2 linked regions of the Saccharomyces cerevisiae S288C genome follow. Changing the gene in region 1 together with any one later gene gives a genetic interaction. Each region holds a gene or a part of one and is shown on either strand. Other genes may lie near its edges.

Region 1 (4,837 bases):
GGTTCCATCAGACATGCAGCCCAGTCGTACCATGCTTTTAGGTCAGAATCCATATCCTTATGATACGCTTCAGGAACCATCATCATAACAGCTTCAGGTAGAGATAATGTGCCATTAATAGTCAATAGTTCTAAAACGTTATCCAATGCAGCTGAATCAGAACCACCTTCTTCGATAATTGGGTATAGTTTGTCTAACTCATCTTTGAAAGTTGCTGAATTCATCACACCTTCTCTGGAGCGCATCCAATTCTTGTTACCTCTTAAGGTGTTAATTTCACCATTATGAGCTAGCCAACGTAAAGGTTGAGCTCTATCCCAAGAGGGGAAAGTATTAGTGGAAAATCTTGAATGGACCAACGCCATGTGGGATTTGAAATGCGCATTAGTCAAGTCGGGATAGTAGTTATACACTTGAGCTGGCGTCAATTGACCCTTGTAAACAATGGTGGTATTGTTTAGGGAACAAACATAGAACCAGTTTTCCAGTCCTATTTGAAGAGAGGCCTCCTTCCTTAAAAGATACAATTGAGTTCTAAATTTAGTTTCATTAAACTCCGGTTGTTTTTCATCATACAATGGAACCAATAATGGCTGTAGAATAGTAGGTTCACGAGATAATGCAACGTCTCCTAAAATAGTAGAATCTACGGGGACGTTTCTCCAACCTAATACGGATAAGTTGAAGGATGCAGCTAAATCCTCGAAAATCTTCTGACACTTAATTAAATTTTTCTTGTTATTTTTTTCGTTCTTCTTGAAGAAGACGTTACCTACGGCGTATTTGCCCATCTCAGGTATGTCTAGATCAAGATCTAACTTGAATTCTCTTTTCATAAATTCGTGAGGAATACCTAGCAGAATACCGGCACCGTCACCGTTCCCATCAGATGAGACGGCACCACGATGTGTCATATTCACTAAAAGATATCTAGCGTCAGTAACAATCTTGTGAGACTGTTCACCATGCTTATTTGCTACGAAACCGACACCACAAGCGTCATGTTCATAATCAGGGTCGTAAAGTCCTCGTTTGTCCGGAATCACATTTGCCCAAGATTTATGAAGATGGTGTTCATCGTTATAGTTTTGAATTGTCCCACCTTCGTAAGCTTCTTCCAATGGATCGAAATTGTCTGATTTCAACACTGGCATGCTTTCTTTTCTAATTCTTTTTCTAGTTCTTCAAAATAAATAAATGGCAAATAGATTAAGAAAAAAGAGAGAGTAGAAAGACAAAAATAAATAAAAAAAAACTGAAGCAGAAAAATAAATAAATAAGTTAAACGTTAATCACTACCTCAATGAGCTAAAAGAAGGGGAAGAAAGAGCAACTGAGAGTATCCGTCTGCGTAGTATAGGACTGAGATAGCAATTTCCTATCTTCCTATGATGTGGAGACGATTAGTTTGGTGTGTTATCAAGTAAGATATAAGAATTGATTAATTTGGTAAGAAATGAAACAATAGGACGAAAAATACAATAAGATAAGGAAGACCATCAGAACTTATGAATGACTAAGAAAAGCAGTTTATATTTTTTTTTTGGGCAATTTATTGCTTCTTTTTTTTACGTTTTGCGGGCATCACGTTCGTCGTGACATATGACTTGAAAAATGTGCAAAAGCTTATCGGAGCCAATCGGATTGACGCATTAAAACCGAAGTGTATTAGGACCAAATTTGCGCTGTATAGGGTTGAACGGTAGGGCTACCAGGGTCTGAGTCATCAAAGAAAAAGAAATTACAATAAGAGTCTTACTTAAGATGATATAGAATTGTTGTTATTGTTCATGTATGGATGCCAAGAAAACAAAGTTTTTTAAAGTGAGGTATGAATTATGGCGTGGAGAAGCTGAAATTGAAATATTCGAAGCATGGGTGTATTACTTGCAAGATCAGAAAGAAGAGATGCTCTGAAGATAAACCTGTGTGCCGGGACTGTCGTCGATTAAGTTTTCCCTGTATCTATATATCAGAATCTGTTGATAAGCAGTCTTTGAAAAAAATAAAGGCAGATATACAGCACCAGTTGATCAGCAAGAAAAGAAAGCATGCTCCTGACAGTGCTCAGAAAGCGGCCGTGGCCACCCGTACTCGACGGGTCGGTAGCGACGAACAGGATAACCAGGTATATTTGTCAAAACCGCTGGAAGATTGCATTTCTCAGAAGCTGGACTCTATGGGATTGCAGCTGTACAACTACTACAGGTCTCACCTTGCAAACATAATTTCCATCGCGCCCATGAACCAGAACTACTATCTGAACATTTTCTTGCCAATGGCCCACGAGAATGATGGTATATTGTTTGCTATTCTTGCTTGGTCAGCTAATCATTTGTCTATATCATCATCAAATGAGCTGCGAAAGGATGAAATATTTGTCAACTTGGCGAACAAGTATACATACATGTCGTTATCGCATCTAAAGACAAACGAGGGCTCAAGTGCCTGTGCTAAACTGGGGTTTCTATATTCACTAGCACAAATCCTAATCTTATGTGGTTCAGAGATATGTCAGGGTGATGTGAAATTTTGGAAGATATTATTGAATATAGGAAAAAATTTGATCGAAAACCATGTGGGCAAGGATGTCTCACGGATACTAACCACTACTACAGAAGAACCCTCCCTAGAGGAGAGGATAATCTTCCCCAATTTCAATTCCGTTGTTAAGTACTGGCTGATTGTGAATTTTATATATCATGATATTTTGAATTTCAATACAACGTCCTTCCCGATCGAACAATACGAGAAATTCTTCCAAAGGGATCAGAACTCTTTACCCAGCTCAGCCAACTTTATTGAGTCAATAGACTCGCCAATTGAGGAAATAGACCCTTTAATTGGCATCAACAAGCCTATTTTACTACTATTGGGACAAGTCACAAATTTGACGAGGTTTTTGCAGACTATGGAACAGGAAGAAATGCTAGAGCATGGCGATAAAATTTTGAGTTTGCAAGTCGAGATTTATAAATTACAACCTTCGCTTATGGCGCTGGAACATTTGGATGATGAAAAGAAATTTTACTATTTAGAACTATTCGAGATAATGAAAATTTCTACCTTAATGTTCTTTCAATTAACTTTATTAAAGATTGACAAAGATTCGCTGGAACTACAGATACTGAGAAACAAATTGGACTCGAAGCTAGACAAGGTCATCGGAACTTTTTTGGAAGGATCGTTATGCTTCCCACTTTTCATTTACGGTGTATGCATTCAGGTAGAAGATATGGAGAAAAAAATAGATTTGGAAGCCAAATTTGACGACATTTTAAAACGATATAAATGTTACAATTTCCAAAATGCTAGATTATTGATACGGAAAATTTGGCAAAACGAGGCTGATGGCATCAGTGAGCATGACCTGGTCCACATGATTGACGAATTAGATTACAATATTAATTTTGCCTGAGCAGCATATATTTTCTTTCCCCGCCCCCTGGGTGTCTTAAATTATTGTTTCACCACACAAACATATATATGTTCTTTTTTTTTTTTGTAGGACGTACGGATTCAAAAACAATTTATACCTATACAATGTAGAAATGCTAACGTTGAGACATAGAAGTAATTATTTAATTAACCATTTTAGGTGATTATTTTCAGGGGTGTCCGAGTCCACCTCTACAACATCCACCTGCCCGGTTTGATACCTGTAATCGCCTGTCTTGGAGTCCTCCACAAAGCTTATGCTTCTCTCAGATTTCCTGCGTGGCCTATCCATTATGGCTGCTCCTGCATACGACGTGCCAGTGCCGCCAATCATATCTATATCATGATTGCTTTCCCCGTCGCTTGTACTATCTTCATTCGAGTGGACGTCATGAGCCCATACAGATTTATACCGATTTGCTCTCGGAAATTCATGGCCATCTAGCACTTGTATTCTTTGGTAGTGATCACTATCATTATCCTCGTCACTCTCGTCCCTTTCACAAACGGGGCTTTCCCTTCTCTGCTTTGCAGTCCTTGTTAATTTAGTCTTAGACTTCATTTTAGCTCTTTTATTAGATTTTGTCTTTAATTTGCCCTTGATCTTCAAAATTAACTCATCAAAGTTGTCCTCGTGTGCATCATATACCACCTTATATGATTGTTGGTATTGTGTGGCGAATAAGTCCTGGTTCCAGGCAAAACCTTGACTTTGAGATACAGATATTTTAAAATTTGGCCTTATTTCTGCACTATATGTAAATACCGAACTGGTATTTGAGTATACAATAAGTTTCTCCTTATCCTCCATGACTCTTCAGTAGCGGTTATGAACACGATATAACTATCTGCATTTAACGCTGGTACTGATTTCAATTTATCCTTATCAAATGATACGCTCTTTCCCTTTAAAAAGCGCCCTTACCTCGTTCCGAACGGCGCTAGTAAGAATTTCATCAAATTGCCCTTCTTGTGGGGGGATGCTCATCACAGACTACTGAATATGCATCACAGAAAAGACAAAAAGAACCATTAACATGATTCTGCATATATTTGAATGATTAATCCATGGTATTGATTTAAGGCGGTAAGAAGGAAAATTTAAAATTTGGATATTACCATCTTCTTCTACACTCATATATATTCCTAATTTCCTTTGCATCAGGTCAATCGTGACAGTTGTTGCTTATAAATGCGATTATTTTCTGCGTAATATCCATAATTACTTCAAGAACCCCTTAGGTGACAACCGAAAGTCAGCAGTCACTTAATAGTATTTAGTGTCAGAATTTGTTGGCCTATTTTCTTACATTCACTATATAATACTTACGGGGCTAGTTTTATTTTCTACCACAAATAAAAATAAAGCATCTTTTAATTTTCTTCCCTTGAATGGCTT
Region 2 (6,374 bases), on another chromosome or scaffold:
GATATCAGATTTACTAGCCCCGTTGGATTGAAAAATCTGCAAGGAAGGGCTAAAGAGCAATATACTTTCTTTTGTTGTTTCGGGGTGATGAGAAAATTGTAACTTTTTTTTTTAACTTGGCGAGAAAATTGACTGGAAGAAGTGTCAAAGATAAGGCTTCTATCATATTCAAAACAAGTACCACCAAATGGCAGCTCAACTCCGAAGGCTCAAAAACAATACTTATTGATATTGCACTCACAAGCATTTTTTGTTGCGGAACGTCTTTACGTGCAAGATTAATGATCATAAGATTGCATTTTTACTACCTCCTCACTTTAGTTTACCATTTAGGACTTGTAGGTGCGTATGAAAAAGCAGCAAGAAAGAGAATTCAACCTCCCGATTTGATACCTGGTCCTCCGGGACATAAACTTGGTGATGAAAGACCACCGCATTACGACCACCGGCCACCTTATAAAAAACACATCGACAACATTCCAGCTTACAATCTGACTGATTTGATAGATGATAAACTACTAAATAAATATGAAAACTCATGCACGGTAAATGTATTGACAGGTGGCTTCATCTCTCTAGCAAGTAATTCGTGGCACTTACGTGCTTATAATTACACTTTAAATTACCCATCCTTTTTGATCCGATGCGATAATGGCAGTGCAAATCCTAATTTCTCTCATGTCTTACAAGACTTTGTTTATGACATCAACAACAAATTCAACGTTCAAGATGACAGTAGTAAATACATCGGAAAAGACCCATTTCCCTTAGGAATGATAATGATCACCTTTGCTTCTGGGTGTATCTGTGTGGCAACATGGATGCTATTTTTGGTTGTCTTATTACTGCCATCCGATAATCATAATAGAAGAAATAAAGTTGTACATGTTTACGTCCTTTTCTCTGCGATTATAAGAACTGTATTTCTAAACGAGACTATAGCCGTCATATTTGACAGCCAATATCACGATGACTACCAGGATGCGAGCCAATTTGAATCGTTCATCGTAGAAACTGCACCATATAAAATATGTGAATTAGTTGCAAATATTTTGAGTGATATAAACTGGATTTATATTGTTCACTACTTACAGTCCAATTATGGAAAACCAACTTGGAATTGGATCCCATTTAAAATGAAAAAGGGGACACATATCATAATTACCGTGGGTTGCTTCCTCTCACTAGCCGATAACATTTTATTCGCAAACCTTCTTTGGAGAAAGAACCTTGTAGTTTTGAAGGTATTTTACAAGCTAATCGAATTACTGATTTACACAATTTTCATCTCCATTATTTGTTACTTCACATGGCATAATTTTGCTTACATACTTTTACCGAAAACTGCTGAAATTAATACGGACGGTAAGTGTAAAACGAAATTGAGAATTCTTTGGGAAAATTATCACGAAACTATACCATTATTGGCGTATAATATTCTTATATTTATTTTATTCTATTTCACCACAATTTTTTTCGCTGCTTTCACCAAACATGTTAGAGGTTGGACATTTAACTTTGTTCATCTTTTGAAAGTTTTAATAACAGTGAACGTTTGGGGCTTAATTGGAGTATTGGAAAAGAGGGAGCTGCACATAAGCAAAAAAACAGTCCTTGGACGAAAAATTAACAATAGGGACAAATTTTTCGCCAATCCAACAGTCAATTATTACGGAGAAGATTTAGGCAAGCATTTAAGCGCCATAACGTTAAACAGGGATTTAAACACTACTAAAAGTAACACTACTTCCCACGATTCATCAAGTTTAGTAGGATCCCCTTCACCCACCTGGAAATCTCCAATCGAAAGAATAAGGGACAGAAGAAGAAGACATAAGATAATGAAAAGTGAGAATAAATTTGGGCAAAATCCCAGTTTTGGAAGTAAATCGAATGGCAAACCTAATACTAAAACGACATTATCCAAATATCGACAGCTATTAAGGAAGCCTAGGCGAAAAACCAATTCATATGAACCAAAAAATGGCATTGGACAGAATAAAGAAGGCTCAACTGTTAGACCAGGAGCCGACAAACATATTAGAGATTCCAATTATCTAGCTACAGACATCAGTGACAACGAAAGTATGGAAACCGAACTTCGAACCAACCACATTTATAATTACGAAAATAGTGATTAAGGCAGGCCCAGTGGACGAAAAGACATAACTGCAGAAGTACAGCTGCCTTTATTTCTTGTGGTCATTTATTGCTTTTATTTTCAAGTCAGATATACAAGAAAATCAAATCCCATCGTCAACGTCACGTATAAACGATTAATTTACAGTAATACCATACTCTACCAACATTATTTTAGTCCGACGTTCAGTCCTGTAGGTGTTCCAAATCCTTCTGGCATTGACTTCTGTGCAGAAACCCTTCAAAATGAGTTCCACTTTACGTCAGATCGCATAACAACCGGTCATATATTTTTTTCTTTTGCTAAACCCCCTACTGCAAGCACTTTTAAGAAAAAGAACAATAAATGCGTCTTTATTGCTGTGTGGAAGTGATTTTTGTCTTTCGGACAAAAAAAGGATAGGGATGCGAGAGGGCTGTGAAGTAGTGATCAAGCGGGGCCTATATAAGAAGGGCGCACATCGTCCCCCCTAAGAATAGCGAAGCGATATTACACTGAACACTACAATGTCAAATAGTACTCAATAAATATGACTGTAAAAATATGTGACTGTTAAGGCGAATGTTGTAAGGACTCTTGTCATTGTGGGAGCACCTGCCTTCCAAGCTGTTCTGGCGGTGAAAAGTGCAAATGTGATCACAGCACCGGAAGCCCTCAATGTAAGAGTTGTGGTGAAAAATGCAAATGCGAAACCACGTGCACTTGTGAAAAGAGTAAATGCAATTGTGAAAAATGTTAGGTGACCCCTACTCTTTACTTATCATAAATACATCATCATATTTTACCCTTAATTAACAACATTTATTTAACTGCATGAACTAAATATAAGGTATAGTTTCTTTTTCCCGGAATCTTTTTTTTAGATCGTTATTATTTAGACGGCACTAAGAGAAATAAATTAAACTAAATTACGGTGCGGAGCTCAAGGCATCTGCGAGTGTTTACTAACACTAAAAGAGATGAATAAAATAGATTTCTCAATGCAAAATTAAAATTACAATGTTACGCATACACACAAGTACAGATTTGTATATAGTATTTCTTCTTCGTTTTATCTGTCGTGTTGAAACATTTTGTTGTTCAAGTATTAAAAGTCTCCTGCGTTGTTAAAATCCATATCATGTGAATTGTTGGTGCCGCTCATGAGGCCGTTTTGATGTGGAATATTATATTGAATGTTATGCAATGGTTGTTGTTGTCGTGGCTGCCGCTGCCGTTGGCGTTGGCAGCTTCTGGTTTGCTTTTGTACTTGTTCACTACTACTGTTGTCACTCAACGGTTGAGATGGCTCGGTAAGATGGACGAAAGAATCCCGTGTGTCATTTGATAAATGTTGATTAGCCAAGCTTAGCTGTAGGCACTTTCTTTCTAAATGACAAATATATTCAATAGATTTCGTTAAAATGGACGCCTTATTCAATTTTGTTGCTGGCTCTAGGCCATCTAAGTCTGCTAGGTCTCTAGATGTAATGGGAAGATCGTTACATTTTTTATACGCTACTCGTAGCGTTGGGACAGTTCTCCTTAATTGTTCAATTTTATCATTAATATTGGAACGGTATTTCTTTTCAATTATATTGTGTGATACCCTTCCTGTCCTCACCCTTGTTATTCTTTTGGGTTTAACATGAAAATGTTTCCGTATAGGTGAAGTTTTTAACTTGAAGCTCATACTGTCAGCATTGTCAATATTCTCCAAATTCAAAGATGATTTAATCTCGTCTGCAGTAACTAAGGGAGACTCTGTCTTCGATAAAGGCAAAAAATTTTCAAAGCCAGACAATTGTTCCTTTTTCACGATTGAAGCTGCTGAAAGAAGACTCGAGTCCTTTTCAGATTTAAGATCGGTTTGCTTTACATTATCAATGTTTTCATTTTCCTCGCTACTAAAGACTTCCATGTTATCAATGTATTCTTCGCTGTCAATAGTATTGCCATTGTCTGTAGTCATTGTAGTACTACCCGTCGTTGTTGTAGGTATAGAAGCCAGAGCATCATTATAGTAATTACTATCAATTACTGGAGTGTGGCCTGAAGTATTAGGAAACGAGGAGTCACTATACTGGTCTGTGGCAGAATATGTGTTGTTCTTATATACAGGAGGCACGGGAGGTTGAAGATGGATGGGATGCTGAAATGGAGCGTAATAAGCATGCGTCGGAGGTCCTTGAGAACCCAAATCCTCGGTATTGTAATTTGGTGGCGGCACGTTGTAATTGTTACTTTGAAACATTAAATACATTTGGTTCGTGGTTACATTTACATTCTGCTCTTCGCTGCCATCTTGAGCACTTCTACAATCAAAAACCTTGATGGCGACTTTATTACCTAGGTCGTTCATTACAGAATTGCCATCCGAAGAACCAGAAAAAGGTTTTTGAAAATTTGGCATTTCCAATTTATACTCTTATCGTTGCTAAAATGAGTCGTGTACTGCAACTGCTCTATATTCTATATTCTAAGCGAATGGGTGGGTGGGTGTGACTAACTATTAAACTACCTAAGCGATCTCGAGAGCCAAGGCGAGTAGTAGAAATAAAACTAGAAGCGCGCTTTACAGGTTTGACCTTAAGTATGATGCGATAAGACACTTACATAGGACGATTTTTGAGGCTTACAATGTGTAACCAAGGTATATAAAAGGTGCTGCTGCTCTTGGGAAAAATACAAAGAAAACGCCTACGGTAAAAATACAATACCAGCTATTTTTTTCTTTTGAGAAGCCCACTCAAAGTAAAAATTAAACAATGATGGAAAAGAACGGAAAAAAGTTCAAACAGAAAATTAAAATACAGCAGAGAAGACTAGGCACAACAAAGTGGGATTGTGTCTACGCTTTTAACGGTGTACCCTTTTTCCTCGCCACGTTTTCACTCAGATCTAAATCTCTGCTGTAATTTACAGCGGCATAAGAAGGCACGTCCCCTGAAAGTAGGCTAGCCAGAAAACAAAAAGGCCAGAATCGGCGCGGAACTTCTCGTATCGAGAGCAAATGAGGGGTGCGGCACACAGTAGGAAAGGGTAACTGATTAACATACGTACACCCCGGCATAAAAGCTTCTGCAGGCTTTGTAGGCAAGAGACACTGCGGAGAATAAAAGGTTGTGACGCCCAATACCTTCGCCGGACTCCTTCTTGGCGTTCACAAAAGACGATGCTGCAGCATTTTTTTCTTGCGTCGAACTCGCGCCCACAGCAACGAGACGGTTCCGTTCCTTCCCGTAATGTTGCTTTGATTAACAAAATTCTCGTTTCCTCAGTTCTGTGAGCCCGTTTGTCAGCAGAGGAATCCCAATGAAGAAAATTTTTTCTGGAAAGTAAAAGCGAGCGAAAAGTTTAAGGTTCAGATTGCATCACTATTCGTTCAGTTGATAGCGAATGTAGACCGCTAGCGGCTTGATTAGATAAATAGAGTGGGTTAAAAAAAAGGAAAAAAAAAATGTGAATTGCACATGCCCAGCGCGCTCGCAAAACATATAAAGTTGTCCTCACATGCGGCGTGCATTGTTCATAGCGGGGCAAACATACTTGTGGCTTAATTTGACACATCTACTTTTAATCTTTTCTTGGTCTAGTACAATGGCTTTTTCCCAAAGTAGAAGGCTTCTTACTCCAACCGTACCCTGTCCTACTTTACTGGGCATTGATTTTTTAATTCTTGTCTTGAGGCATTTCGACGAGATTTTCATTTGAAAAATATACCTCCGATATGAAACGTGCAGTACTTAACTTTTATTTACCTTTATAAACAAATTGGGAAAGCAAGGAGATAGATCTGACTGCCGGCCGAGCTTGGCTTGACTTAGTAGTTTCGATGTCCCTTTTCTTACTTTCCTCATGCAAAATTGGTGATGAATTGAATGATTTTCGTTCATCTACGCTTTTCATGTCAATCACAATTCTCTGTGACCTGGCACCAATAAGGCTTTTTCGCAGTGATGGCCTTTGCGTGATTTGATTTTTACCATCGTTATCGTCGCAATCATCATCTCTATTTTGATTGACGTATACCATTCCTCTACTTTTTTGATTAACGTGCCGAGGAAATAGTGGTTGTCTATTTGCATTAACTCCGCTGAATGAAGATGAATATCTAAACTTTTGTAAAACTTTTGTGCACCCCGATATACTCCTCTGGGATGACCCGGGAAATGAGGTGGTGCTGCTCGTGGGAACTCTTGATTCCGCAGTTTCGCTATAATCCTCGCTAGTATCGCCATCACCGTCATCATCT

What was found. Genes that interact genetically often act in the same process or in processes that back each other up.
Region 2: mutations in UGA3 (region 1) and HMS1 together harm fitness more than expected from each alone (negative genetic interaction), as found in Saccharomyces cerevisiae (one large-scale study listed by BioGRID).

The regions. Positions count from the first base shown.
Region 1 is NC_001136.10:154,487-159,323, forward strand, and holds UGA3 (Uga3p), read left to right. Parts: upstream 1-1,831; coding exon 1,832-3,418; downstream 3,419-4,837. Other genes in the region: GLT1 (glutamate synthase (NADH)), read right to left, coding at 1-1,154; UGX2 (Ugx2p), read right to left, coding at 3,578-4,249. UniProt on the Saccharomyces cerevisiae protein: GABA-dependent positive regulation of genes required for catabolism of GABA (UGA4, UGA1, and UGA2).
Region 2 is NC_001147.6:386,544-392,917, forward strand, and holds HMS1 (Hms1p), read right to left. Parts: upstream 4,533-6,374; coding exon 3,228-4,532; downstream 1-3,227. Other genes in the region: DFG16 (Dfg16p), read left to right, coding at 282-2,141; YOR032W-A (uncharacterized protein), read left to right, coding at 5,633-5,833; Rad2 family nuclease EXO1, read right to left, coding at 5,873-6,374. UniProt on the Saccharomyces cerevisiae protein: Involved in exit from mitosis and pseudohyphal differentiation.